Linked DNA regions of Coturnix japonica. The protein of the gene in region 3 interacts with the protein of the main gene of each other region in a biochemical or structural test. Links are inferred from orthologs where the notes say so. Each region holds a gene or a part of one and is shown on either strand. Other genes may lie near its edges. The genes, in order: SLC9A3R1, MPP1, ABCC4, ERBIN, PDZK1, SNTA1 and SLC9A3R2.

The links.
Region 1: the proteins of ABCC4 (region 3) and SLC9A3R1 form a complex in vitro, tested with the Homo sapiens proteins (3 studies listed by BioGRID and IntAct, with this or other methods). The link is inferred for Coturnix japonica from reciprocal best matches to the Homo sapiens genes ABCC4 and NHERF1.
Region 2: the proteins of ABCC4 (region 3) and MPP1 form a complex in vitro, tested with the Homo sapiens proteins (2 studies listed by BioGRID and IntAct, with this or other methods). The link is inferred for Coturnix japonica from reciprocal best matches to the Homo sapiens genes ABCC4 and MPP1.
Region 4: the proteins of ABCC4 (region 3) and ERBIN interact in a test that uses a peptide from one of them, tested with the Homo sapiens proteins (2 studies listed by BioGRID and IntAct). The link is inferred for Coturnix japonica from reciprocal best matches to the Homo sapiens genes ABCC4 and ERBIN.
Region 5: the proteins of ABCC4 (region 3) and PDZK1 form a complex in vitro, tested with the Homo sapiens proteins (2 studies listed by BioGRID and IntAct, with this or other methods). The link is inferred for Coturnix japonica from reciprocal best matches to the Homo sapiens genes ABCC4 and PDZK1.
Region 6: the proteins of ABCC4 (region 3) and SNTA1 form a complex in vitro, tested with the Homo sapiens proteins (2 studies listed by BioGRID and IntAct, with this or other methods). The link is inferred for Coturnix japonica from reciprocal best matches to the Homo sapiens genes ABCC4 and SNTA1.
Region 7: the proteins of ABCC4 (region 3) and SLC9A3R2 form a complex in vitro, tested with the Homo sapiens proteins (2 studies listed by BioGRID and IntAct, with this or other methods). The link is inferred for Coturnix japonica from reciprocal best matches to the Homo sapiens genes ABCC4 and NHERF2.

The regions. Positions count from the first base shown.
Region 1 is NC_029533.1:9,145,246-9,149,474, reverse strand, and holds the start of SLC9A3R1 (Na(+)/H(+) exchange regulatory cofactor NHE-RF1), read right to left. Parts: upstream 2,801-4,229; 5' UTR 2,754-2,800; coding exon 2,388-2,753; intron 1-2,387. UniProt on the Homo sapiens protein: Scaffold protein that connects plasma membrane proteins with members of the ezrin/moesin/radixin family and thereby helps to link them to the actin cytoskeleton and to regulate their surface expression. Necessary for recycling of internalized ADRB2.
Region 2 is NC_029519.1:2,088,369-2,092,311, forward strand, and holds the start of MPP1 (55 kDa erythrocyte membrane protein), read right to left. Parts: upstream 2,801-3,943; 5' UTR 2,673-2,800; coding exon 2,565-2,672; intron 1-2,564. UniProt on the Homo sapiens protein: Essential regulator of neutrophil polarity. Regulates neutrophil polarization by regulating AKT1 phosphorylation through a mechanism that is independent of PIK3CG activity.
Region 3 is NC_029516.1:131,509,672-131,513,732, reverse strand, and holds the start of ABCC4 (multidrug resistance-associated protein 4), read right to left. Parts: upstream 2,801-4,061; 5' UTR 2,669-2,800; coding exon 2,595-2,668; intron 1-2,594. UniProt on the Homo sapiens protein: ATP-dependent transporter of the ATP-binding cassette (ABC) family that actively extrudes physiological compounds and xenobiotics from cells.
Region 4 is NC_029547.1:14,171,919-14,175,418, forward strand, and holds part of ERBIN (erbin), read right to left. Parts: intron 3,488-3,500; coding exon 3,372-3,487; intron 2,515-3,371; coding exon 2,445-2,514; intron 1,449-2,444; coding exon 1,349-1,448; intron 1,172-1,348; coding exon 1,050-1,171; intron 542-1,049; coding exon 371-541; intron 1-370. UniProt on the Homo sapiens protein: Acts as an adapter for the receptor ERBB2, in epithelia. By binding the unphosphorylated 'Tyr-1248' of receptor ERBB2, it may contribute to stabilize this unphosphorylated state.
Region 5 is NC_029516.1:83,000,284-83,003,510, forward strand, and holds the end of PDZK1 (Na(+)/H(+) exchange regulatory cofactor NHE-RF3), read right to left. Parts: intron 3,165-3,227; coding exon 2,961-3,164; intron 2,340-2,960; coding exon 2,040-2,339; intron 1,370-2,039; coding exon 1,292-1,369; 3' UTR 501-1,291; downstream 1-500. UniProt on the Homo sapiens protein: A scaffold protein that connects plasma membrane proteins and regulatory components, regulating their surface expression in epithelial cells apical domains.
Region 6 is NC_029535.1:2,063,256-2,067,283, forward strand, and holds the start of SNTA1 (alpha-1-syntrophin), read left to right. Parts: upstream 1-1,228; 5' UTR 1,229-1,959; coding exon 1,960-2,221; intron 2,222-3,923; coding exon 3,924-4,028. UniProt on the Homo sapiens protein: Adapter protein that binds to and probably organizes the subcellular localization of a variety of membrane proteins. May link various receptors to the actin cytoskeleton and the extracellular matrix via the dystrophin glycoprotein complex.
Region 7 is NC_029529.1:6,206,138-6,209,637, reverse strand, and holds part of SLC9A3R2 (Na(+)/H(+) exchange regulatory cofactor NHE-RF2), read right to left. Parts: intron 335-3,500; coding exon 158-334; intron 1-157.

The DNA.
Region 1 (4,229 bases), on a different chromosome or scaffold from region 3:
TGGCTGCAGGAGCAGCTCCAAGCAGGGCACACAGTGCCTGGTGTCGGAGGGACCCCAGCCTGCACAGCACAGGAGCAGCAAAACGCCCGGGGTGCCCACAGCTCCCAGCGCAGTAACAGCACCCAATGAGCAGCATCTGCAGCCCCAGCTCACAGGAAGCTCCTGCAGCCCCGTGAGCAGCAACAAGCTGCAGGCAGCTCCCAGCAGCCGGCAGAAACACGGGCTGCGAGGACAGCCAGGCCAGCACATTCACACGGGTCCTGAAATCTGGCACACGCGCCGGGGCCCCATACAAAGGGGATGCAAAGCAGCCTCTTGCAGCATCCCTGTCACGTAGGGCCAGGCTGGAGCTGCTTTTCATGCAGCCCACTCCTGCTCCCGAGCACAGTTGGCTCTAGAAGTAATTTAATACATTTCTCAGTTCAGCTCTCCCTGCACAATGCACCCAGCTGCACTCACCACACCCCAACCTGCACCCGGGGGCTCAGATGGGTTTTGCAGGGGAGAGCAAGCGCTGCATTCAGCATCTGAGCACTGTGAGCACTGGGCACAGCTGGCGCTGGGCAGCAGGAGCAGTGCTGCAGTGAAAGCCCGGCACGAGGAGCTGTATCAAAGCACTGCCGTGCAGCTGAAGCCTCCGGAAACACGGTGTGGGGCGGGGGGCCACCACCCACAGACAAACACCGGGGACAGTCCCATGTGGTGCAAAGCCCCAGCAGGGCTCAAGTTGTGTTCTGCCACCTGGGGCCACCCCCAGGACCCTAAAGCCATGCCCGCTGTGGGTGGGTGCACTCACGGGCGTCCTGAAGCCCATCATGTCCCCTGGGGTGGCATCCAGCTGTGGCAATGCTCCCTGCTAAGGGGGACCGTGTCCTGGCCGAGGTGTTAAGCGCTCGGAGCAGCACAGAGCAGCACAGAGCAGGAAGGCTGACAGCCGGCCGCTGGCAACACGCGTCTCCAAGCCTGCATGCAAATAAAGGCCAGCCCTGCCCCACAAAGCAAACAGGACTCTGACACACACGGACTCGCCGCGCTCCTGCCGGCACCGATCCCGGGAGAATCCCCACCACGGGGCGGCCGGGCACGGCCCGGGGGCACAACCCGCCCCGCTCGGTGGCTCCGCTCCCAGCGCCGTCCTGCGGCTCCTCCGGGTTCCCCAGGCTGGGAACCGGCCCCAGCCCCGCGGCTTCCGGCGACCTGTTGTGAAACCACCGGGCTGCACCGAGATCAGCCCGTGTCAGCAGCGTCACCGACTTCCTGCTCCCACACCGACAGGAGCTGTCAGCGGTAACCGCACGGAACCGTCCCACCCCCGCACGGAGCTGCGCACCGAGGCGTGCAGGGCAGGGCGCTCCCCGGCCCCATCAGCCGCGTCCCAATGAATCCTTCCAGCTCACGGAGCAGAGGGCGCAGCACAGAAGGACTCGGTGGCCGGGGGGGACGCGAGCACTGCGCCATATGTTGGATGCCGTGGGAGCACAGCCTGCTCGTTCCCACGCAGCGTGTCCTGCCCTGAGACTCCAGCTGGGGCGACGTGCACCCTGCGGCCACCAGAGCCCACGGGCGGCCCGTGGGAGCTTTAGACAAAGGGAAGAGTCAGCGCTGGGTGACAGCAGCACCTCGCCCTGCAGGACAACAGCTCGGCACCGCGGGCGGGTTGCAGGAGCGGAGCGCAGCTCTGTGTCACGGCCTCCCAGGAAGCGCCTCGGTCGCAACAACAAATACTTGTTTTCACCGAGCAAACAAAAAGCGGCTTTATCCGCGGCAGCCCCGAGCGTCCCTTAGAAACTGCTGCGGGCAGGAAAGGTCAGCGGGTCTCCATTCCTCACCCCTCTGCAGCGCCCTGTTTGTGCAACCGCTGACTCCTACGTGCTTCGGACATTCTGAAACCCGAAGGGCTCCGCGTTCCCCATCCCCGCGGCGCGGCTGAAGCCGGGCAGTTCAGGGCAAGAGCGGCCGGCGCAGCACGACGCCTCCCCTCGCCAAATCCTATTTGCATTTCAGAGGCAGTTAACGCCAAAAGCCTCGGGGCGACCCGGCACCTGCTCTGTTCTCTTCTTTGGAGGTGACGACGCAGCGCTGGGGGCTGGAAGTGAGAACTCCCGGAGCGAGCAGAGCAAACAACAGCAAAACCCAAAGCAAAGGACACACGGCGGCAGGAGGCCGGGCCGGGCCGGGCAGCCCCCCGTGCTCACGCGTCGCCATCAAGCTCCCCCCGCCCCCCCCTCGCCACACGCCTGACCCCGTTTCGCTCCTGCGGCACAAGGACGGAGCGGGGGGGGCGCGACCCGACGGGCCGAGACCTGAGCGAGGAGCGAAGCCCCGGGGGCACCGGGCCGGCCCTACGTGCGCCAGATGCCGCCCGCCCCGCCCCGCCCCGCACTCACTGTGTCTCCGTGGCCGCCCCGCTCCGCCGGGGGCTCCCGCTGCTCGCGGCCGTCGGTGTCGCCGTGTGTCCCGGGCGGCTCCTCGCGCAGCGGCTGCACCACGAGCAGCCGAACAGCCCCGGCCGCGGCCCGGATCCGCTCCACCACCTGCTGGTGACTCTCCCGCTCCACGTTCGTCCCGTCCACCTCCAGCAGCCGGTCCCCGGCGCGCAGCCCCGAGCGCTCGGCCGGCGACCCCGCCTCCACCTTGCGGATGAACTGGCCCGCTTTGCCCTTCTCGCCGTGCAGGTGGAAGCCGTACCCGTCGGGGCCCTTCTCCATGCAGCACAGCCGCGGCGCGGCGGGTCCCGGCGGAGCGGAGCTCATGGCGGCCGAACTACGACCCGCGACTCAACGCTCTGCGCCCGCCCGCCACCGGCGGCGGCTTTTATACCGCGGGGCGGGGCTGGAGGCGGAGCCGGCCAATCAGAGAGGGAGGGGGCGGGCTCAGGACGGCGATAAGGCGGAATTATGCAAATAACGACCGGTTATGCAAATAAGGGAGTGGGCGGGGTTATGCAAATGTAGCCCCGAGGGCGCGGGCAGCGGAACCGCAACGCGACGGAGCGACCCACCGGGACCCAACGGGACACACCGGGACACACCGGGACCCACCGGGACCCAACGGGACCCAACGGGACCCAACGGGACCACCCGGATCACACAGCATCACACAGCATCATCACACAGCATCGCCATTCAGAGCCGGTTACGGGGGCTACGAAACGCCCCGGGATGGGAGATCAGCGCGGGTGGGAAGGCAGAGCGGGAGGGGATGGGGGGGGTGGTGCCCTTTGGGGAGCGCTCCTCTCGTTCAGGAAACGAGCCCCGGCCCCGGTAGCGGCGGTTGTAGCGCGGGGCTGCGATAAGAAACGAGCCCAGAGCGACAGGAAACACGGAGCTGCTGCTGCGGCCCGTCCCGACAACAGCTGCGACCCACAGAGCGGACGGGTCCTGGGGGGTCTGTACAGCCCCGCACAGCCCCGTACAGCTCCGTACAGCTCCGTACAGCTCCGTACAGCCCCGCACAGCTCCGTACAGCTCCGTACAGCTCCGCACAGCTCCTGCAGCGCCGGCACAGCCCGGCTGAGGGTGGGAAGCAGCGCGGAGCCAAGAGCCGCTTGTGCTGAATGTCCGGCATTTTTCGCAGCCATGAGCCGAGAGGCGGCAGCTGATGCCATTGGTGGGAAGCCGGAGTTATTTGGGGAATGCTGGACTCCGCACCATGAGAACAGCAGGGGAGGAGGTTGGTTTTAATTTAACAGGCCGTGTTTATTCTTCCCCTCTCACCTTTGGACTGTCTGAAATGTGCGGCCCGAGCGCTGGGAGTTGGAGGGGGCTGCGGGCTCTTCCCCCGCTGCGTGCCCCACATCCCATTCCCCGCCGTGCTGTACGGCCGCCCACGTGGAGGGCCCGGGGCAGGGATTTCTCACACAGAGAAAAACAGGCAGATGCAAAGCCTTGAAAATATCCAGCTTTAATCTGTGCACTTGCAAAGAGGGACCCGAGGGGGGCGCGGGGGTGAAGGGGGCTCTGGGAAAGGGGGGTCCTCGTGGGGATGGATGTGACCAATTGACCCCAAGTGCATCAGAGTGGTGCCCTCTGCAGCTGCCCTTGGCATCTGGAGCAGCACACCCAGATATTCCCCGTCTCCCTGCCCCGTACAGCACAGTGCCCGGGGTGTGATGCCATGGGCCACTTCAGCCCCATCCACAGCCCAAGTGATGGGTTTGTCTGGAACGACTGGGAAGAAAAAAGCTTTTCCCTCAAAGGGAAGTAAATAACAATAGAAAAGCTTCCAAT
Region 2 (3,943 bases), on a different chromosome or scaffold from region 3:
GCCCACCATCTTCCTCTTCTGCAAGAGGCACAAGGGTGAGGAGAGGACACCAGGCCTCAGGGCCATGCGTGCCAGCAGGGAATGAGGTGAGAGGGAAGCAACCCTTGATGAGAACCCTGGGCAGGGTCAGTGTCACCCTCCTGGGTTGCTCCTGCTGCTGGGCTGGGCTGCACACCGCTGGGGGAACCATGGAATGACTTGGGTCAGAAGGTTGGAAATCAAACATTAACCCTCATTTAGAGGAGGGTGAAGCAGCACTTCAGGGAAGCAGCACCCTGGTGCAAAGGGCACACTTGGAGGCTTGCCTCCTGGGCTCTCCTTGCTCTCCTCACCAGGGGATGTCGGTATCAGGTGGTCTCATGAAGAGCACATGGAGAGCACATGCAGAAAGGTTTGCTGGTTGGGCCTTCAAAGCACAGCAGCACAGAGAGAGGCAGGAGGGCAGAGCAGCCCCAGCTATGGCAAACAGCAAAACTCCAGCTCCTTCCAGCACCATCACCTCTCATCTGGGCATAATCACTGTGGGTGTGCAGGCAAGGCCAGGACACGAGCCTTGGGCACGTCCCTGCCCTGGAGTGGCTCAACCTGGATCTGCTCTGCTTGGCGCTGGCTCAGCAGCTTCTCGACCTACCTGAGAGCATTACCACTGAGCAGCAAACGCATGCACTGGGGTGCCTAAAAAACACAGCAACAAACAAAAGCAGACTAGCAAATAAAAAACGCGAGGAGCAGTGGGCATGTGGTCATTTAGTAGTAATTCATTCTGGTTTGAGGCTGCTGCCCTTTCAGGTCAGCCTGGAGCAGACCTCACTCAAGACCTATTCCAGTAAAACCATCCATTTTAAAAAGAAAACAAACACTTAAATCAAACAAAATTATGCTACTGAAACTAGGAAAAGGCACAGCTACATCAACAGGTCACAGGGGATGGGGAACGGAGGAGCAGGAAGAACACAAGTGGCTGGGGGGGGGCAGAAGATGCTGCCCTCACTGCAGCTCACTGAGTGCTGTGATAGAGAAGGGCCACGTTCCCAAGCAGCCCCATCAGTTTTGCTGAGACACAGCTCTCCTAACATGGAAGGCCAATGCAGCCCTCCAGATGTGTTAATGAAACCTGCCACCTCCGAGGGACAGTCAGGAAATGGATGGGGCTTTGAGAAGCAGCACAGCCACTCCATTCCCTACCTTCTACGTGGCGTTTTCCCTGCAGCCACACAGCCCGGAACAGCACAAACTGCATTCATGAATTAAAGAGCCGAAGCCAGCCCTACACCCCCATCATTTATTTTGGTCAAACCCAGGAGGAGTTTTGCTCAGCTCCCAACCGCTATTTTCACCCACGGTCATTTCAGAAGAGGGACCACAGCTGGAAATGGCAGAGGTTTGATGCCATGTGATGCTGCCATGGGGTCACACGCCGTCCCCTCTGCACCCCCAGCTCTGAGCAGGGCCTTCCTTCCAACCAACAGACCCGCTGCCCATTTTACAGCTGGAGAACTGAGTCACAGCAGATTAGGTGCCATGCCCAAGGTCACCCTGCAAGCCAGCAGCACCGCTGGGTGCAAAGCCCACATCTCCCTGTCAAATCTCTATTTGCCATTAATAGATAAAGAAAAGCCAGGCAGGCACGTGGCTGAAGGGAAGAGGGCTGCAGCCTCCTGCACTTCTGCTTGTTTTCTAGCCATGACTCTGCCTTCCAGTCATGAGGGTTTGGGATCCCTGCTGTATCGAGAGCAGCAGGAAGAGGAACCTCTGTATGATTTGAGCTGAGAAGCAGCCAGCCTGACCCAGAGCCCTGAGAACTGCTGCCACGTCCCTGCCACCAGGAATCAGCACACACACACAGACACGCAACCCAGCTGGATGCCAGCCCTACACATCACCTCCTAACAGCTCCCATGCAAACCCCAGCTGGTCACCTTCCCCTATACCCCAACTGGAACAGGGGTATCGTGGTAGTGGGCAGCTGCAGGCCAGCTCCTGTGCTCTCCACACCGCACTGCTTGGGGGATTGATGTATCCCTGCTCCAGGCATGCACAGGGATGGATGCAGAGCTCCTCTCAGCAGCGCTTGCTCCAAATGCTTCTTCTATTTATTTTTTGCAGCACTCTGCCAGCGCTGAGCCATAAAAAGCACGCAAACAAACCACCAGCGCAGGCCAGACCGGACAAACATCCCTTGGATGCCCTGATGGGCTGAAAGCAGCACTGCTTGGTGGGAATCTCCCTCAGAGGCAGCAAGGAAACCCCTTCCCCCGGCAGACAGTACGGCTCAGCCACGGGCTGCTGCTCTGCCCTCCTCCCTTCACCCCAGCTGACAGCAGCGGGGAATGACCCCGTGCTGCCCGGCCCGGTGTTTCTGCCGCACTCCCGGACCCCTCCCGCTCCCAGCTCAGACCAGATACAACTTCGCAGCAAAACAAGCTCACGGGCAGGATGCTGAGCTCGCTCCCCGCCCCCAGCCCCGCTCAGCCGGTTCCCGGGCAGGCCGGGCTCTCCGCGGCATCGGTGCCGACCGGGGGGACGCGTGGCCTCGTCGTGTTCCCCGTGCGCTCGGGGCTCACCTCGGGCTTGGCCCGGTTCTGCAGCAGGTGCTCCAGGTAGAGGTCGGACAGCGCTGTCCTCATGCTGCCGCTTCCACCGCCGCCTCCGCGGCCCGATTTGAGCGTCATCCCCCCGGCCCAGCGCGCCGCCAGCAGCCGCAGCCGGTTCCGTTGGCTCCAGCAGAGCGGCCCGGCCCCGCCGCACCAGTCCGGCTCCAGCAGCGCCCCGGGTGCCGCACGCTCCGCCCGGCACGGGGCGGGACGAGCACGGGCTGGAGGCGCCGCCACGGGCGGGGCAACGGGGCCGTGCAGGGCCGCGGCGGCAGGCCGGGATTGGGAATGGGCCGCCCACAGCGCGGGGGCGTTGGGGCTGCTGGTCTGACCTGCTTGGCCGCCCCGAGAGGCGCTGGGCTGTGGGTTCTGCCCCGGGTGACTCGTTATCAGCTTACCAAACAGGGGGTCACCCAAAAGCGCGGTGCTGTCCTTTGCCTCCTGTACTTAACAATTACACCTTCCCCCTGCTCCTCCTACCACATACATAACGTGTGGTTCGTGTGCCCTGCTGGCCAAGAGGGCCGATGGGGTCCTGGGGTGCATTAGCCTGCTTTGCAGGGGGGGTTGGACTCAATGAGCTCTAGAGATCCAGCCCCTACAGTTCTGTGATTCAGTGATACAATGATGACACCCTAACAAAGCATCAAACACTGCTGCCATCCCAGCTGCACCACCAACCTCCCTCCCACCCCTCGCCATACAACTCGCTATGAAGCCCACTGAACCTCTCGCGTTCTGGCTATAACTCAGACAGCAGAGCCTCAAGTGAAGTCTGAACTTCATTTTGGGGGTGTGAAATTCCATCTGAGAGAATCCTGAAAATCATCTGAAAGGAAGAGAAAGGTGGTTCTGCTCCAGGCCCTTCCACACCGCTTCGGGGTCCCTGGAGTTTTGGAGGCTTCTTGGAGCTGTGCTCCATCAAGGCACCAGAATTTCTTCCAGCATAGCCACTCTGCCTCTCTCAGAGCTCCCCAGCTCACCTCAATCCATTGCTACCCTACAAAACACAAAGAGCACAGGGTGCACCTCCTCCCTGCTGCCTTGTGCTGGGACAGTGGGCACTGCAGAGCTGCAACCCAGCAAACACAGCTCCTTTAGAATGGGAGCAGCGGGGGGTGTGCAACGTGCACACACGTACGTGAGGCAGCAGAGCAGCAGCAGGAGCAGCACAGTGATGGGGAAGACGTACAGGACAGCGATGGGGAAGTTCTCATAGAAGTGAGACCACGTGTCACCCAGGTAGTCCACCAGCCAGGACCGACGGGTGCCTGAGAAGAGACGTGTCTTTGTGAGGAAGGGAGCAGAGAAACACCAGTGATACCAATGCATTTTTTTCCCTGGATTTG
Region 3 (4,061 bases):
CCCCCAGCAGAAAAAGAGATGTGAAATGAGCCAGTCTGAGATTCACAAAGCATAAAGTCTAAAGCATTTTAAACTCAAAATGCTTTCCATACTGAACAGATGTTTGAACATCAAAAACACTGAATGAAACTGTCTTTCAGGGCCCTCCTACAAAGAAAGCAAATCCTCCTATCAATCCTTCAAAGCCCTCATTCCCACCAGCGAGCTGAGCCAGCAACAGAACAAATCTCATAAATGAAATACATCAGAAATATATCTGAGTGCTGCTAACTGTGTAACTATCAGACAGATGAGAAGTTTGGTAAGCATGGAAACTCGCCACTCTGGAGGTCAGTAGATAAAGCAGTAACTGCGACATCCAAAACAACAATTTGGGCTTTGATAACTTTACAGTAACATAGATAATTCAGTGAGAGCTATGGAAAACAGGAGTATTTTGCAGCCACTTCCATCTTAGTAATCTTGTCATAAATAGTTCATTCACATAACATCCAGCCTAGAATTACAGAAGGGATGCACTATAAAAGAACAACATTCACACACAATCTAGATGCTCCTCTTTCCCATGAATGTATTGCTGGAGAGTTTAATGTTCATCAAGCTCGTACTTGTCAAAGTCACAACCCCAAAAGCAAGAAGACAAGCTTTGAACAATGGGAGAAGAATGTCTTCAGCCTACACACTCATTACCCTAGTTTTATAATTCAGTGAAAACACGACTTCTTTTCTTTCCCTGGGAGTTTGATCTTGTTTCCGCAAGGCAGAATAATTTCAGCTTTTCTTCTGCACTACTGGCAACAAAAGAGGAGGGCGGTTTCTTGCAATGGCAAAACTGCACTTTAAGAACAAAAAAATGGAAAGAAGGAGAAAAAAAAGGACACAGCAACCTGCTGTGCCCTACCTTCTATCCTCAACGATAACACCTGGCACTCAGAGCAGAGCAAAGCGGGCACACTCCTGCAACCACATGACTGCAGCTCCCAGGACCGCCTCCTCCAGCACCGCTTTTCCAGTTCTCCAGCTGGAGAACTCTCAGAGCATCCCGCATGAAGAAGCAGCAGCAGTTAAAACGAAGCAGTGCCACAGCAGTGCTCTCACGGCAGGCTGATAGATGCTGTACGCTTTGTAGGAAAAAAGGGATGTTTCTAAAGGTGGCCCTTAAAATCAATTTATAGCTAAAGGGTGTTTAAATACTTCATGGTTTTACGTAAAGCCATACAAACTTGTAGAAAAGTGGAACCCCCTACTACTTCATTTAAACCACTGTATAATTGCCACTCATTTCAGTGGCAATTTTCACTAAGAAAATAGTAATGCTTTCTGACATGCAAATAACAAGGATATGTTCAGGTGGGTTTTTTAAATTTGTTTTTTCCTTTGATAATCACATGCTGCCCATGCAAGAAAAGAGGCTTTAGAAGACTGAACCCATTGCTGAGAAGTAGTCTGGAGGCCTCACAAGCAGCATATGGGGCAATTTCTCCCATTTGTTCATAACAGGTGTTTTGTTTTTTTTTTTCTTTGCTTCCAGGTTTCCTAGCAATGCTGTGTCCAACATGGGCATTCCTGGTGTTAAAACCTTACACAAGTATACACCCCATATGCCCACTAATTAGTCACAGAATTGTAGGGGTTGGAAGGGACCTCTAGAGATCGAGTCCAACCCCCCTAACAAAGCAGGTTCCCTACACCAGGTGAATGTCAGGACTTATAAAAACCCTCTACCTTCAAATAGGGATTCCTGCACCTGCTCAGCATGGCTTTCAGGATCAGAGAATATTACTTGTGTCGCAGAACTGAGTGTTATGCTCTCACCCTCCTCTCCTACACGTGCTGTGGGCTCAGAGAACTGCCTGCTGTCTTCCAAAGGGATCTGCCCTGACAGACGAGTTGGTGCTCTTCCATTTCACCTTGAGTGTCCTTTCCTAGCGCCTTTCAAAGCAATAAAACTGTCGGGAAGTAACTCGTCGCTGCTATATTACACGTGCTATGTCGAGGTCCCCGCTAACACGAGCTCCGCCTTTGCCGCAGGGGCCATCCGGGCGAGCCGGCAGCACCCCATCTTCACTCGGCCACACCTGAGGCCTTCAGCCGGCCGCCCCCTTCTCCATCGAACTCCGCACAGCGCTCAGTTCCAGACGCTGCCCGAGGGATGGAAGGAAAGCCCCGCGCCGTTAAAGACAGCGGCGGAAGATGCCGGCCCGCGGCCCGTTACGTGCCGGGAGGGGCGGCGCGGAGCCGGGAGCCGAGGAGCAGCCGCAGCTCGCTGCCCGCCGGCCCCGCGGCACCCCACGTGCGGCGGCACAGCCAAGGGGCCGCGCCCGCTGCGTGAGGGCGGCGGTGCTCGCGGGAGGCCCCGGGGCCGCGGCCGGCAGGCGGCTTCCCCCCGGGCGGCACTACCGCCCGCTGCCGCCTTCACCTCGGATGACCCCGCTCCGCCACGGCCGCCCCCGCTGAAACCACCTGCGCTCGGGGTCCGCCCGAGCCGCCCCCTCCGCTCCGAGCCTAGTGGCGGCCGGGCGGACCCATCCCTCCCCGAGCCGCGTGGCCGGGGCTCAGCATCTCCCCGTGTCGGCCGCGTGCCCGGCGCTCACCAGAAGAAGAGCCGGGAGCAGAGGTTGGCATCCCGCAGCGGGTTGGGTTTCTCCTCGCGGGGTACCGCTTCCATGCCGCCCGCCGCTCTGCGCCGCCCCGCGTCGCTCCAGCCCGCCGGCGGCACCGCACCACTCCGGGCGACTTCCCACCGCGGCAGCCGCCGCCGCTGTGCCGCCGGTCGGTGCTGTTTCCGGGACAGCCGGCACTCCCGCCCCGGCCCTCCTCCAGCCCGCCCCGCAGGACGCCTCCTGCCGGCACGGCTCCCCGCGTGCAGGCCGCGGCCCGGAGCTACCGGCGGGAGCGGGCTGAGAGGGACCCAGGTGTGGAGCCCTCAGTACAAAAAAGACATGGAGATTATGGAAAGGGTCCAGAGGAGGGCCACGAAGATGATCAGGGGGCTGGAGCACCTCCCCCATGAGGACAGGCTGAGGGAGTTGGGTTTGTTCAGCCTGGAGAAGAGAAGGTTGCGGGGTGACCTCATTGCAGCCTTTCAATACGATATCAAATACAATAAGAAGGGAACTTACTCCCAGGAGGGGAGTAAACTCTTCGAAAGGGCTGACAATAGCAGGACACGGGGAAATGGTTTTAAGTTAAAAGAGGGAAGATTTAGGTTGGATGTTAGGGGGAAGTTCTTCACTAAGAGAGTGGTTAGGCCCTGGAACAGGCTGCCCAGGGAGGTTGTGGATGCCCCGTCCTTGGAGGTGTTCAAGACCAGGTTGGACGGGGCCCTGGGCAACCTGATCTAGTAAATATGTATGTTTGGTGGCCCTGCCAGGCAGGGGGGTTGGAACTACATGATCCTTGAGGTCCCTTCCAACCCGGCTCATTCTGTGATTCTGTGACCGCCGTGCCCTGCCGGGCAGCTCTTGGTTCCACAGCCTGGGCCCGGCTCCGCTCACGTCTGTCAGCCGTGGGTGACCCCTGTATGCCCCACAAGGCTCGAAGAAAGGCTTGAAGCCGGCTGTAGTTTGTATTGTGTTTCCGAGATGAGGGGTTAGCCACATTTGTCAGGCTGCAGCGGGGTGGTTGCCATCTCTGACACTGCTTGTGCTGTCTGCACTGGTCAGTGTGTGCTTATTAAATTGCTGCTGGTGAAATGATTTGCTGTCCTCACAGTGCTGGTGGATCTATGGGAGGCAAAAGGACACGTGGGCCAGGAGCAAAGCCACCTGAATCGCGGGATCAGAGATTCATTACAGTTGGAGAAGACCACTAAGATCATTTAGTCCAGCTGTCAAACCATCACCATCGTGCCCGCTAACCCTGTCCCTCAGTGCAACACCTACATGTCACCTCCAGGGACTGTGACTCAGCACTTTTTTAGAGATGAACTTTTTCCTAGTACCCAACCTCAATCTCCCCTGGCACAATTTCAGGCCATTCCCTCTTATCACTGTAACCTGGCTGACCTCCATCTCACCACAGCCTCCCTTCAGGTAGTTGTAGAGAGCAATGAAGTCTTC
Region 4 (3,500 bases), on a different chromosome or scaffold from region 3:
TTAAGAGGGAAATCTCTACTACAAAGCAGGTAACTATTGCAGACTTCTTCACAGTGAGGGTACAGAACACTGGAATGGACTGCCCACAGGGGCTGCAGGGTTTCCTTCTTCACTGACATTCAAAACCCGCCTGGAGGCGTTCCTGTGTGACCTGGTCTAGGTGTTCCTGCTCCAGCAGGGGGATTAGGTCTACAAGATCTTTCAAGGTCTCTTCCAATCCCTGACATTCTGTGATTCTTAAGGCGACAAAGAGGTAAGCCCTGCTCTTTAATGTGGAGCATTAATGAGGAGAGAGAAGACTAAAAAGAATCAATGGCAATCTAGACATTTGGAAGTTTCAGTGAAGTCAGAAGATAGTATTACACCTAACCTTTACCCCCACATCTTTTACAGAAACTGTCTGGCTTTCTCGTTTTGATTCCTTGGCAACATCTTCAGTAGACTCTTCATCCTTTAGCCTGTGTACAATTGTCTGGACTGTTTTGACCATATTCTTCAGCTCATCAGGATATGGAGTTGGATATCTCTTCAGATTGCCTTCCTGTGTTATAAAAAAGTAATAATCTAATTTTAATTAAACGCTTTAATTAAAGTACCAAGCTTTAAAATAGACAATGGATTCAAACAAAACATTCAGACCAACACCTAGAATCTCCATTTTGCAGTTTGAGTCTACCTAGATTAACACAATTTTAGAAAACCCAGCAAAATTACAAATCAATTATTTTTGCTTCATATTTGTCTGTTGATAACAAGCAGGAAGAGTAATGACAACTATAATATATCTAAATAAAAATCAGAATTAACCATTATTTCTCAACTATCCCTCTCCTGAAGCAGCACCAGTCCAGCAATTTCATAATTATATGCTCCATTTTAATGATGAGGAAAAAAAAATAGTCCAGTTTTATGCTCGTAAGCTAATAAATGAAGTTTTGATTTCTTCATCAGAGCTAAACCCACAGTCAAAGGAATAAAAAGGATGGGAGTCAGGTGTGCAATTGGGAAAAAGAGAGAGAGAAAAACCATGGTAAAAAATAAATACTAACCCGAGGTGGTGCCTCTCTCTCATCTTTGTCTTCATCACACTCAAATGCCACCTGAGCACGTTGTTTCCTCTGTTCTTCCCACAAAGATGGATTGAAGCTTTCATTGTCAGATATAAACATAACTAGAGAAAAAAAAACAGGCACATTTAAGAACAGCATGCATTACACAAAACAAAGCTCCTCTTTTACTTCTTTTTCTTAGGTGGATTTTTTTGTTTTGTTTTGTTTTTTGTTTTTTAAATTTATGCTTGAAAAGGAAACAAATTAACAATGCTGTAAGCTGAAAAAGAAATCCTTACCATCCTCAGTCCTTGGTTGCTGGGGGAACATGTAATTTGTAAGCACAGTTTTCTGTGTGTCAGGGTCAGCTTCTTTTTGAAGGGGGATAAGTGGTTTAGACTAAGAAGGAAATCAAAGAAGGACACATTAAGAAAATATCTGTATGTACAAAGTAAAGATTATCTACACATAACTTATAGAATGCAAGGCAGAGCAGTCTTCAATCATTTACCCTCTGAATAATTTTCAGAGAATGAAGTTATTAATATATGTCAGTAAACGACTGTCTTGGGAATGGAAAGAACAACTTCAAGAGAATAAACTGAATATTTAAAAAAAAAGCAACTATTTTTGCTAGGACTTATTACTGTCTCAAACCAAGCTGTTCTGGGATGCACAGATATACTTTGTCATTTACACCTATGGACAGCCAAATAAATAAATAAATAAATAAAATATTTAATGTAAGTGTGTGTATATATATACACACACACACACACATATATAATGTGTGTGTGTGTGTATATATATATATACATATATATATTATATATATATTAAATATATATAAAATATTGATATCAGACTGATAACTCCCACTCCTTATAAATCTTCCACTATACCACACTTGAGATCCATGAATTTCTGGAATCCCTGTAAGCCTTAGTGCCATTCAGGAAATTGGTAGAGTACAAAGGAATTAAAGAAGGCACGAGCGCACAAGTTACTTCTCAATAACTTGAAACATGGACAGCCATGAAGTTCAAAGGTAAGGCAAGCAACCTACCACAAAAAAGGTTATCCAAATTTTCTATAATGGCAGAACGATACCATATGCGTGTAAGCACTAACAAATTATCAAATACCACCTTTCTGGTTTTAAGAAATAACAAATTAGAAATTCCAACATCTGCTAAATTGTATTTCATATAAAAGCTTTGCCAGAGAAGCTCTAAAGGATATTAAACCCAATATTGTTTATTTTGAGAGAATGGACAAAATGTCAAGGAAGTACTTATGCACATACAAAGCACTCAAAATTCAAAAGATCACATATTGATTCAATTAGGAATAAAGTCAACCATTTTTTATAATTTTTCTCCCAGAAAATTTCACCTGATTGTCCGATAGCCACATAGCAGTGAGCTGCTGCAGTTTTGTAAAGGTAAACGGCAAATTCTTCAGCCTGCAAATTACAATAAAAGTTCATGAAAACACACTTTTCAATACTACAACTTGACAGTAGAATGGCATTCTGTTTTTTAGATACGCATTCCTGCCTATTCCAGCAAGCAGCTTAAAAGACAGTGGAAACTGAATTTATCTCATGTCAACAACCTGAACACAATTTTTAAGACAGCCATTAGCACTGTATATAAATCAGCTACTGAACTTAAGATCAAGACTGTTTATTTTATTAGAAGAATCCTCAGCAATTTTATTGCTATACGTGTATATTCAATATACACGTGCACTAAAATTAAGAAAAATTAAGAAAAAAGGGTCACAACTAAAATTGTGGGGTTTTTTTGTTTTTGAATAAAATGTGAATAAAATCAGGCTTAGGGTAGAGTACAAAGGAACTGGATTTGTTTAAAAAAAAAAAAAAAAGGGAGGGGGGAGAATTTAAATTTATCTCTCCCAATACATTTGAATTCTGCAAATTGATGAATTCAAAAAGGCCTATTTTGCCAGTTTTTATTGACCAGCTTTAATTAAAAACATGTCCTTCCTCTTTCTTGCCCAGCACATGTGTTTTATCACATACTGTGACACTTCTGTTCTCTGTCCCCTACATGCAATACAGGAAGCTATTTACTTAAATCATCAAACATATGCCTAATTCAAAGGAACAGTTTCATAAAATCGATAAACAGTAAATGAAATACATGCATTTCAGTCAGATTATAAGCTGTGGGATATAACGAAAGGTAGCACAGCACGTTCAGAAAAATGCCGCTACTTACATCTGGGTGACAGATATCAGTTACACTGAAGTACACTCAATGCTATTGCATTTTACATGATTTTTACTTGAATTACCTATTGTCACTCAGGTTGATGACCTTCAATTTCTGCATGTCACCCATTTCTTCTGGGAGAAACTCAAGCTTATTTGAATGCAAAAACAATACCGTTACGTGCTTCCAATTTCCAATCTGCAAAAAAAAA
Region 5 (3,227 bases), about 49 Mb from region 3:
AGCATCACAGTTGTTTTTTGTCAGCTCAAAATATTTGTTTGCAGGTGAGCTAGAAAGTGGCTGGAATTTACTACCTGGAGTGAAGTTGAAAAGATACCACTAATACTCACTGTCCTTTTGAGCTGGAACTTAGCTGTGTCTTGCTGAACTTCAGCTTTGTTTTGTATGTAAACAGAACTAAGGCTTTGGATTCCTGTTTGCTGGAGTTCGGCATGAAGTCAAAGATAACAGCTATGCCTTGTTTACCTTACGTGTTATAAATGTGTTGACCTTATATACTATAAATCTGGTGTTCCCCTCAACCTGTATATTCTTTCACAGTAGCCTGTTTCCCCTTTCTGATGTCATTCAAGGCATAAAAGTATATTTTATTCATGTGACTTGAACTTGTAGCTTCCCATAGACACACTCCCAGGCTTTGTTTGCTACAAGGTTGTTCTGGAACATAAATCATAGGTGGTAAGGCTAGGACCTGGGGGAAAAAGAAATAACCACTGAAAACAATTTAATTCTGTATTGTCTTTGGTGTACAGGAAGGAGACAAAGCATACAATAGCAATATTGTATAGCCATTTATATCACATCTAAGACAATGTAGTGTTGACTTGGAATTAGACAAACCTGCATGATTGAATTACACTTCTAAACACTATGATCCACAGATGTAGGCAGAGGAGAGAAAACAGTGCTTAAAGGCTTTAGGTTTCGAGTTATGAATTATGAAGTTAACTTAATGTTTGAAAGAAATTTCTGCAGTGTAAGTAGAAGAAAGGAGTGTATTGCACAGAGTATATTAGTTTATGACATATCATAGTAATTGCACTGCCATAAATACAGCACAGATCATCACCTCCAGGATTGTTTTAATGGGTTTGTATTAGGAGAACTGCCTCTCCTGGGAGATGGTGAGAAATCAGTTGGTCTTTATTAAATGCTTACCCTTAAAAGGCTCAAATACATAGGAATTTATGAACTGTTTCCTCCCTTTGTTGCAATATACTTAACTATGTACCTCTAATTATTGAAGCCTTTATAGTAGTAAGTGGCTTACTCCCCACTTTACAAGGCAGAAAGCCTTGTACAGTGAATGAAGTACAATTGCAGTGTGTTAAGTAACTGCAGGATACCCTGAAGTGCTTATTTCAGGCAGCTGCATTTCAGCGTGACATCACAGTCCCTTACAGGTTTGATAGTCATGGGAATAGTCAAGTCCTGGAGTCGCAGTGCAAAGTGTGATTGAAGAAAGAGAATTTGGAAGGTTTCTTTTTTGTTCTCGGCATGGATGGTCTTCTCAGAACCTTGTGTCGTCGCTGCTGTCACTGTCTGCTCCTGCTGAGGCAGCTGATTGTGAAGAGGAAGATGAGCTTGCCTGCAGAGGAGTAACAAATACAATCTGGTTATTTTCAGTGTGTAAACATGCTAGTCTGCAGTGTTATGAAGGACTCATGCTTTAATCTGCCCTAATGATATACTTGTTTGGATGGCATAATGAGCCAGTAAATGTGACTTTTGTCACTGAAGTGCTTTCTCGTTAGCTACATTTTAGAGAGAAATTTGTTTAATAGAAGTTTCCTATTGTTTAATTCCCATATCTGGTGAACTTGCACACAAAAGCGGTGCTAATCTTCTGACACGACTTTTGAAAAAGCCTGGCAGCTGGATATTTGCAAATAGGGTCATGAAAAATAGGAAGGCAAGTTATTCTTTTTTGTTTATTTAAGGACTATTTCTTTGTGCTTAAAGGACAGTATTGCCTCATTGGGGATTGCAGTGTGTAGATTGCCTTGCTCCTGAAAGTCTCTGGTGTGTTCTTTCAGTAATTTGATTGTGCATTAAAGATATTCACCTGCGTTATGCCTGGGGAAAAAAAGAGTTATTTACAGTAATCACATCACAGCTTCCTTATTGATAACTTGGACTGACTTGTAAAAATTGAAGATCCTAAAGATCCTAGCTCAGTTACATGCTGCAGTTACAGGAAGTTCTTTTGTTATCTCCTCAGTGATCCCTCGGCATTTGTTTAATACAGTAATACTTACCCTTTCTCTTGGTTCAGGTGAGGTTCTCTCTGACTCTGCTATTGAGGTTTCTGTATAAGCAGGAGGTTCAGAAGTGTCATGGGATGGATCTGCCATAGAGTCTGTGATGGGAATGTTCTGGTCCTGGAAGTATTTGTAAGCATCTTTACTGCACACCAGTAGCGTTACTTTATCACCACTCTCTTTGATTCTTGCCACGACATTGTCATAGGGCTCATTCATCACGTTCACCCCATTCACTTCCACCAAAACATCATTATTTTCTACCCCGGCTATATCAGCTGGTCCGTGTTTTTGTACCTGCAAAGTCAAGTTCAAATGATGATATTAGCATAACGTTGAAAAGATGGATTAGCAACTGATGGTTCATTAGCTTGCCAAAATAAGCATGGTAGGGAGATTTTGGGGGCAGAATTGAACTGGGAGAGATAATAGGCCTGGATGGTGTAACTTAAATTTAACTTGACTACACTGATGTATTCTTTAGTGATGTGTGAAACCCCTCCCTTCAAGAAAACAAAAGGCACAGATGTAATTTGAGATAACAGAAGATTCACTCTTGCCAGCTGTGAAATTCTGAGAAGGGGAAGGGAAAGTTCTCTTAACATTTCCAGGGTACTCTATAGTTCAAAAATCTCTTCTTAAAATACTATTTTTTTTTACATTATAAATAAAACATGAGACAAAATTTGGATTTCCTTTCCTTTTAGATATCTAGTAGAATAAGAGGAATGTGGTTTTCTGCTGTTTAATATTGGTCCTACAATATCAGTCTGACTACTTCTGACAATTATAACTTATCTAAAACAGCTGGAGAAGAGATTTGTCTTTTCCTGTGCTTTTCCTTAAGTGCATTTACAGGTTGGAAGGGGGAAGGCTGCCCAACGTACTAGTCAAGCTTTTCATTGTTGATTATCTTACATTTAGTACCTCGTTAATGAATAGTCCAGGTTTGTTCTTGACCATGTTTAAACTGAAGCCAAATCCACTCGGCCCTTTTACCATCTTGCAGACTCTTGGCTTATGGTTCACTTTCTGCTCAGTGTGCAGCTCCACTCTTTCCTCTGTTTTTGCTGGAGCTGGGTCTTGCACTTTGTAGTAATATGAAAAGGGGGAAATTTGAGCCTGAAAGAACAATGACAGAGAAAACTTTAATATAAAACCTGTTGTGAAATCTGTAGGTTTCTT
Region 6 (4,028 bases), on a different chromosome or scaffold from region 3:
GTCCCAAAGCAAAACATTTTAAAGTCAACTGGAGGAGTCGGAGACTGCACAGTTTGGGCAGACAACACCATTTCACTACATTTCCTGTATACCAGGGGATGAATCACTCGGTTAAGTACATGGTGCACATCTGAATCTCTTTTATTTCCCTGCCCATCCTCTCCAGTGCATTTGCAGCCTCTGATCTGTTTCAGCAAGGCAGGACCTGCTGCCCCATGCTCTCCTGAGGTGCTGCTGTCAGCCTTGGGGATGCCACTTCAGACCCAAACACGAGCTTTTCTTCTGTTTCAGAAGTGATTCATGTAAATTCACGCAGCTAACAGCGCTCTATAAATAGACGGGTGGGCTTTGACACAGCTCCTGTGTGTGCCAAGAGCTGAAGCTAATAATAGCAGCTCACCCACCACGTCCGGGAGCGGGGATGTTCTGCAGGGGGAGGATGGGATGGGCTCAGCCTTGTGACAGAATCACAGTGAAGATATCACCATCCCACGGGCACTGCAGCACCTCTGTGCCATGATGTGGGGCTGCACACATGGCCTTGCTGCCCAGCAGTGTGGCATGGCACAAGGTTTCCCCCTGTGTGGCACTGCTCTGCTTCCCACTGCTGCTTTGCATAGTGCTGCCAGGGCTGGGGAAGCAAACATATCACATATCCCTGGATGGTGCCATCCTGTGGCACTGGGAGCAGTGTCTCTGCTTTCTGACGTGGCTTACAATGAGAATACAGCCTTAATAATCACCTGTGCTGGAAATAGCATTGGAAAGAAAAAAGACTGCGAGTGGCAAGGGGCAAAGTGACCCCAACTGGCAGCAAAAGGACTGAACCCCCTCTGCTATGGGCACAGCAGCTCAGGGTCTGTGGGATGCACAGAGGACTGGGGGGGGGGAGGGGGGGGTGTGATGGGCGTGGGAGCATCACTGTTAGGCAAACCCAAAAAGTCACTCCAATCGAACTGCAGAATTTGGATTGAAAACTGGAATATCTGAGCTGTGCTTTGCAAGGGAAAAACCTTCAGGGTTTCCTCTGCCGCAATCTCAAGAAATTCCACAGCTGCCTCTGCGTGGGGGGAGCGCTGCTGCCTCCGTGTGGGGGTGGGGAGGGCTGCAGCCCCCTGCTCTGCAATACCCCCCCCACCTCCCCTTGTGCGTGAACGGGATTCAATTCCTTTAAGGCTGCGTTTGCAGAGCCTGGGGCTTGGGGACCTGCAGCCCCACCCCAGGGCTCTGGAGCTGCCCGAAGGGGCACAGGGGATGTACCCAGAGGTATTTTTTATCCCTCATTGCTGCCACTCGGTTGCAGGAGGAAATGCGGATCTGCCAAAGGAAACAAACACCGTTCCTGTTTTCAAGAAGCAGGACAGGGAAAGGAAAGAAAAAAAGCAAGACTGTTCTGAATGCCTCCAAAAATCCTCCCTGCTGCTGTCTGCACCCATCTTTGGGGCACCGACGTCGTCGGACGCCAGTGGGAGAGCTCTTGAGGCTGCCCCCCACCGCCCCCAAGAGCTGCCATTGCTTTTCATCATCGCAGTTTTCCTTAATAAGTCCAGAGTTCGCTTCGAGTCACTTCTGGCTCTGCCTGACAGCGCTGCTCGCTTCCACGACAGCAGTTACTCGTGTACCCCGCAGCACGCCCGAAGCTTTCGTGGCACCCGGTTCTCGGCACGGACACCGCTGCGCCCCGACGTGCCCCGCAGGGTCCCCCTGTGACACAACCGCACCGCGGTGCCCGGAGCCGGGAGGGTCCGAGTGAGGGTGTGCAGAGCTCCCCATGCCCCTCCCGGCGCTCCCCGTCCCATACTCGGGCACGGAGCCCCGCAGCGCGGCGCTGCCCCGACGGGGCGGGCGTGGGCCGGGCCGGGGGCGGTGCGCGGGGCTCGTTGCTCCGCCGGGCGGTGCGCGGGGCAGCGCGGAGCGGAGCTGCCGGAGCGGCGGGGCCGGGCCCGGCATGCGCGGAAGATGGCGGCGGGCAGGCGAGGGGCGCGCAGCGGGCTGCTGGAGCTGCGCGGTCCCGGCGGACAGTGGCTTCGCGTCCTGCTCACCCTGAGCGATGACACCCTGAGCGTCAGCCCCGCCGACGGCCCCGGGCCCGGGGAGCCTCCGCCGGCTCAGCTGAACGGAGGGGAGCAGAGCTCCGGCGTGCCCGAGGCGCTCGCCAACATCAGGCGCACGGTGCGCGTCGTCAAACAGGACGTGGGGGGGCTCGGCATCAGCATCAAAGGTGAGGGGGGGGGAGTACCAGGAGTGGGCGGCGGCGGCGGCAGGTAGGACCTACGCTGCCCTGCTGCGACCGGAGGGCTCCGCCCGCGTGTCCTTGCGTCCTGCGTGACCCCGGTGCGGTGTCCCCTCCTGGCCGCCCCAAACGCAGCGCTCTGCCCCGGTCGGGTGTCCCCCGGTGTCCCCCGCCGCCCCCACCCCCGTCCTGGGGACTTTGCGGGAACTTCGGGCCGGGAACTTCGCGAGGGGGGGTGCGGGGGGCTGCCGCTGTCTGACGTGGCCGCATTGGGCTCAGCCTTCACCGCGCTCCTTGCCGGGCGCTGCTGGGTGGGGCGGTGTGTCGGGTGCGGGTCCCCGTGAGGGGTCCGGGGTGAGCCCTCACCGCTTGTTGGGGCTGTGGGTGCTGCAGCTCGGCAGCGCTTTTGGGAGGTGCAATCCCCCCTTGTAACCAACCCCGGGCTGCGAAGCGCTGCCGGCTCTGCGGCTCTCCCAGGAAAGGAGAAACGTTACTTGCTTCAGCTAAACTTTATTTTTGCAGTGACGTAGGTGGAAACCAAGGAGCCGTGATCCAAACGGGGAGCTGCAGGCGGGCGGGCAGCACTTGGGCTGCCTTGTGCCTCTGCTGCTTTGCAGGGGGGTGACCATGTGCCATTAAACGCAGCCAAACCTTGCTGTCCCTGCAGGGGGTGGGGGCATGGAGGGACGGGTACCCCGCTGCCAGCCAGCTCCTGTCCATGGCCCGTGGGACAGAATCTAAAATGGACCTTCTGGTTAAAGCATTTCAGCTGCATCCTAACCCCAGACAGTACTTCACTTGGGGTTTCTGGTGCTTCATGCAGCCCTGCAGGGTTAGGGTTAGCATCGTTAGGGTTAGGGTTAGGATCCTTCTCCTGCAGGGTCGTGTACCGCATGGTGCTCCGGGCGGTGGTTCCCTCTCCACGCACACAGCCCAGAATGGGTGGTTGCGAGGCGTTGCTTCCAAGCTGGGCTCGGCAGCCAGCAGCAGCCCCCGCGGGGGCCTCTTGACAGCTGATAGCCGGAGGAGCCCTCAGCTCCCGGAGAGGCTCTGCAGAAATCCGAGCGGAGCAATGCTGGCGGCACAGCGGGTGCAGCCCTGGGAGGTGTCACGCTGCCGGTCCCTGCCCGTGGGAGGGGGGTAGGGGGGAGTGAGGGGGTGCCCGGCACACGCTGTCCCAGCGCTGAGCGTGGGCAGCGCCAGGCGGGGCTGCTGGCATCTCCTACAGGTTCAGAACTTAAAGTGCAAATTGATCTCCTTGAGCTGCCCGGAGGCCTTGAGAGTGTCCTGGTGGGCTGAAGAGTGGGGAGCAGCCCGAATGGAGACAGAGAGGAGTGGGGAGCAGGTAGTCCTGCGGCTGAGCTGCTGCTCTGGGGCTCTTTTGCCTCTCCAGCACTCAGCTGCTGCCCCACTGAGACCGTGGGGTCCTGAGAGCAGGGAAGGCTGCTCAGCACACACAGTTAATAATGCAAATAGTGACACAGTTTCCTGCCAGAAGTGATGGGGAGGCGGTCAGGGCGTGTGTTTGTTCAGCAAGGAAATCTGCAGCCACTCGGATGGTTTTTTGAAGCACTTAACATGTGTCTGCCATAAAGCTCTGAGGTATTTGGGCACTGTGTGGGCACTGAGCAGCCCTGTGCCCCTAATTGCTCAGTGTCCCCTCACTGCTTGGTGCCCCTTCTGCCCGCAGGTGGCCGGGAGAACAAGATGCCCATCCTCATCTCCAAGATCTTCAAGGGACTGGCAGCAGACCAGACCGAGGCACTGTATGTGGGAGATGCCATCCTGTCCGTGA
Region 7 (3,500 bases), on a different chromosome or scaffold from region 3:
AGGGCACAGGACTGGGCCTGGATTCAGCATCACGCTTCCCAGCTGAGCATCACATCCCTTCTGCACTCCAGCTCCTCATTTCCAGGAGGATTCATGTTGGTAGGACCCAAAAATGCAACAAAAGAGCCCCAAAGCTCCATGCTGCATGTGCTGTTACCTCCACCAGGCGGTCCTGGGGCCGCAGACCTGCTCTGGATGCTGGTGAGTCAGGGTCAACCGAGCGGATGAACTGCCCTGGGCGGGACTTCTCACTGTGCAGGTTGAAGCCATAACCATTGGGACCTTTCTTCAGGTGGCAGAGGCGCGGACACAGCTCTTTCTGTCCATTTAAATCCTGATTTAAAAAAGAAAGATGATGGGGGGTGGTTACGCGGGGGGAGAGGATAAGATATTGTGTTTGATTTATCGGCTTGGTTTTGTTCTGAATCAGAATTAAGTTGAGAAGGAAGCAACATATCTGCACACCATCCCCTCCTTCCAGCTCAATGGGGACAGGTTAACAAATGGATTTCCTCTCATTGAGTTTATTTTAGAAAACTGATTGTCCAAAACCACTCCAGAGAAATTGAAACAACAACAACAAAAAATGCATTTCCTCAGCCAACAGCAGCCCAGACCCACCCACCCCCCCCCCCACCACCACCACCTTAACTCCCAGCACTGATTGATGTTAGCACCGTGCCTGGCTCCCAGTGACTCCAACACGGCTCAAGGCTTCATCCTCACCTTGCTACTCATCCCTCCCTGCAGGGATGTTCTGAGCAAGCTGGGTGATGCCCAGATCTGGAGCTGCATCTTTGGCCACTCTGGGGATGGCACCAGGGGATGGGCAGCCCTGTCCTGCAACCAGCTCAAAAATGATCATGCAGAACTGGGAGTACTGAGCCAACAGGGCAGAGAGGGATCATCTGTGTGCCCACCTGGAGCCATGTGGCACAGCTGCTCTGCAGTCACTTAGCAGTGAGCCTATGGAAACATTGATCTGGGCAGAGTGGGAAAGCCCTACAGAAGTCTTTGCAGAGAGGAAGCATCAACCCTGCACATGGTGCTGCCCAAGGTGCCCACAGCACGTCCAGGCTGAGCTCGCTGCAAATATTAGCAGAGCACGTGAGGGCTTTGGTGCTTCACCTCTATCACGTGCAAAATGTTTTATGGTTCCTTGGGGCTAACAGGAAGCAGCACACAGCAGGTTTTATCCCACTGCTGTTCTCGTGCACCAGGCACAGTGGCACAGCCATGTCCTGGGCAGGAGCTGCTAAGAAACAGAAGTGCCTTCGGGGCTTTTTTAGGGGGTCTATGGTTTAAGGAAAACATTTCCTGCAGCTGAGTTTTGAATCTGCATTGAAAGCAACACTGCTCCCACCTGCTATCAGACCTCAGGTATCTATCTATCAGTAGGACGATCTCTTACAACCTTACATTTAAAATAATAAAAACATGTGAGAATTTCCCCAATGTTCCCAACCAAAACAAAAAAAAATGCTGGTAATGAATCCCCATCCCCCAGCTAAAGGCAACTGGTAGAAGTGGATGGGGATCTCCTTTGGGTACTTCTACCCAAGAAACACACAGGGCTCCCTTTACCCCTATAAATCCACTCAGCAGTGACCCCTCCATGCTCATTTTCCCCAGAGGAAAAGCCCCCATACAGCACACACAGTGTGCAGTGCTCGGGGCTCACTGCAGGCTCAGCCCTGCGTTCCCATGCCCCCGCGCTGTGGGTTCACCCCATCTGCAAACACTTCCAGCTCTGCGACAGCCGAGGAAAACAGGAAATGATTCAATGCTGGAGCGGGCTCGGTGCGACCTCAAGGGATGCACAGGGCTGTAAGTGCTGGGAACAGGGGCTGCAGAAAGGAACACATCCAGAATCACCTAGTGGGGCTTAGAAATAACCTTTATGGGCCATTTTACTCCAGTTTTAAGCATTCACGGCTCCAGCAGTGGTTCCAAAGCACCAGTCACCAAATGAGCACAGTACCAACAAGCAGGACTTAAGGCTCTACCAGCATCATCCCTAAAATAAACTGCACAGAAACTGCTTGGGAGAGGACTTCTGCAGCAGCTTTGTGGGGTACCCAGCACTGTGCCCTGTGTGGGTATGCTCTGCTCCCACCACCACATCCTGAAGCCAAGATCCACCACTGAGATGATTCAAAATCGTTCTCGTTTCAGCCCCAGCATCAGCTCCAGAGCTCCCCAGAAAGACCTGTCTGAGTGCTGCCACTGCTCCCAGTGCTCCCAGCAGCGGCTGTCTTCAGCTTCTGGAACACATAGGGCTCCAACAAACTCCTCTGGGACTGAGCAAACCCTCTGCTCAGCCTCAAGCACATGATGAAGCCCTCTGCACCGATGCACTCTATTCCTCCTGCCAGCTCTGCTATTCATTCACTTCACAACCTGTGCCAACATTTCCCTGTCATGTGCTAGGAAGAAGTTTCCTGAGCTCCCAGGGGTGTTCTGCCTTTGGGGCACCCCAACCACACTCCTCCAGATCCCACCTGACCTCAAAGACCCACAGACACTCCATTCCTTCCCATAGCTGCACTCACACGCTGCAAAGCCAACAAAAAATGACCTTGTATTTCTCTCTTCGCACGCAATCAGCAATCTTCTTTGGGGGCATCCAGATGCTACAGCACCCACTGATCTCATACATGGGATTAAAAAGCCATGGATGTCACATTTGCCCTATATTGCTGCTCTGTGCACACACCCACTGGTACAGATGTGTCTGTGCAGATAAGAGCTGCACCAACACAAAGCTGCAGTGCCACAGCTCCAGGCACAACTCCACCATACCAGAAGGAAGCCGTGCATTAAAAAGGCACAAACAAGACATTAAGTAACAATGAAACACTTCCAATTAAAAAGGGGAAAATTAAATAAATAAATAAATCTGTTTAGACGTTGCCAGTTCTCATGATCTCATTGCAACACCTGAGGTTTCCAACACCACCATCCCCAAGTTTGGACCGGGGGCTGTGGGAGAAGCATCCCACCCTGCAACAAAGCCCATCTGCCCCCACGGAACTCCCAGAACTCATCATGTCTTCATGCAATGGGGCTCACCCTGCCGGGATGCTCAGAATTGAATACTGGTTTAGCATCACCCTCCAGCCACCCACACTTTGTAGGTGAACACTAAAGGCTAAAACCCCTTAAGAATCCACACTATAGGGGTTATCCCAGAAACACAGCATTGGATCCAGCATGGATGATGGATCCAGAATGAGGATGGAGCACACTTGTATCACTCCCCTGGAAAGGGACAAAAATGATGGAGCTCCTCAGTGCCAGGGGGCCTTAGCACAAGCCCCCAGCCTCATGACCACAAGCTCTTTTTATCTGATGCAGTCAAACCATCCACTGCTACAGGAGCTGGATACCCTCCAAGTGCAGATTTCCCCATGACACATCCAGCTTTTCCACCTCTCCTTCAGTGGAGTTGGAGAAAACACAGGCAGGATCACTCCTGCCTAATTTGCATTGCTCACATA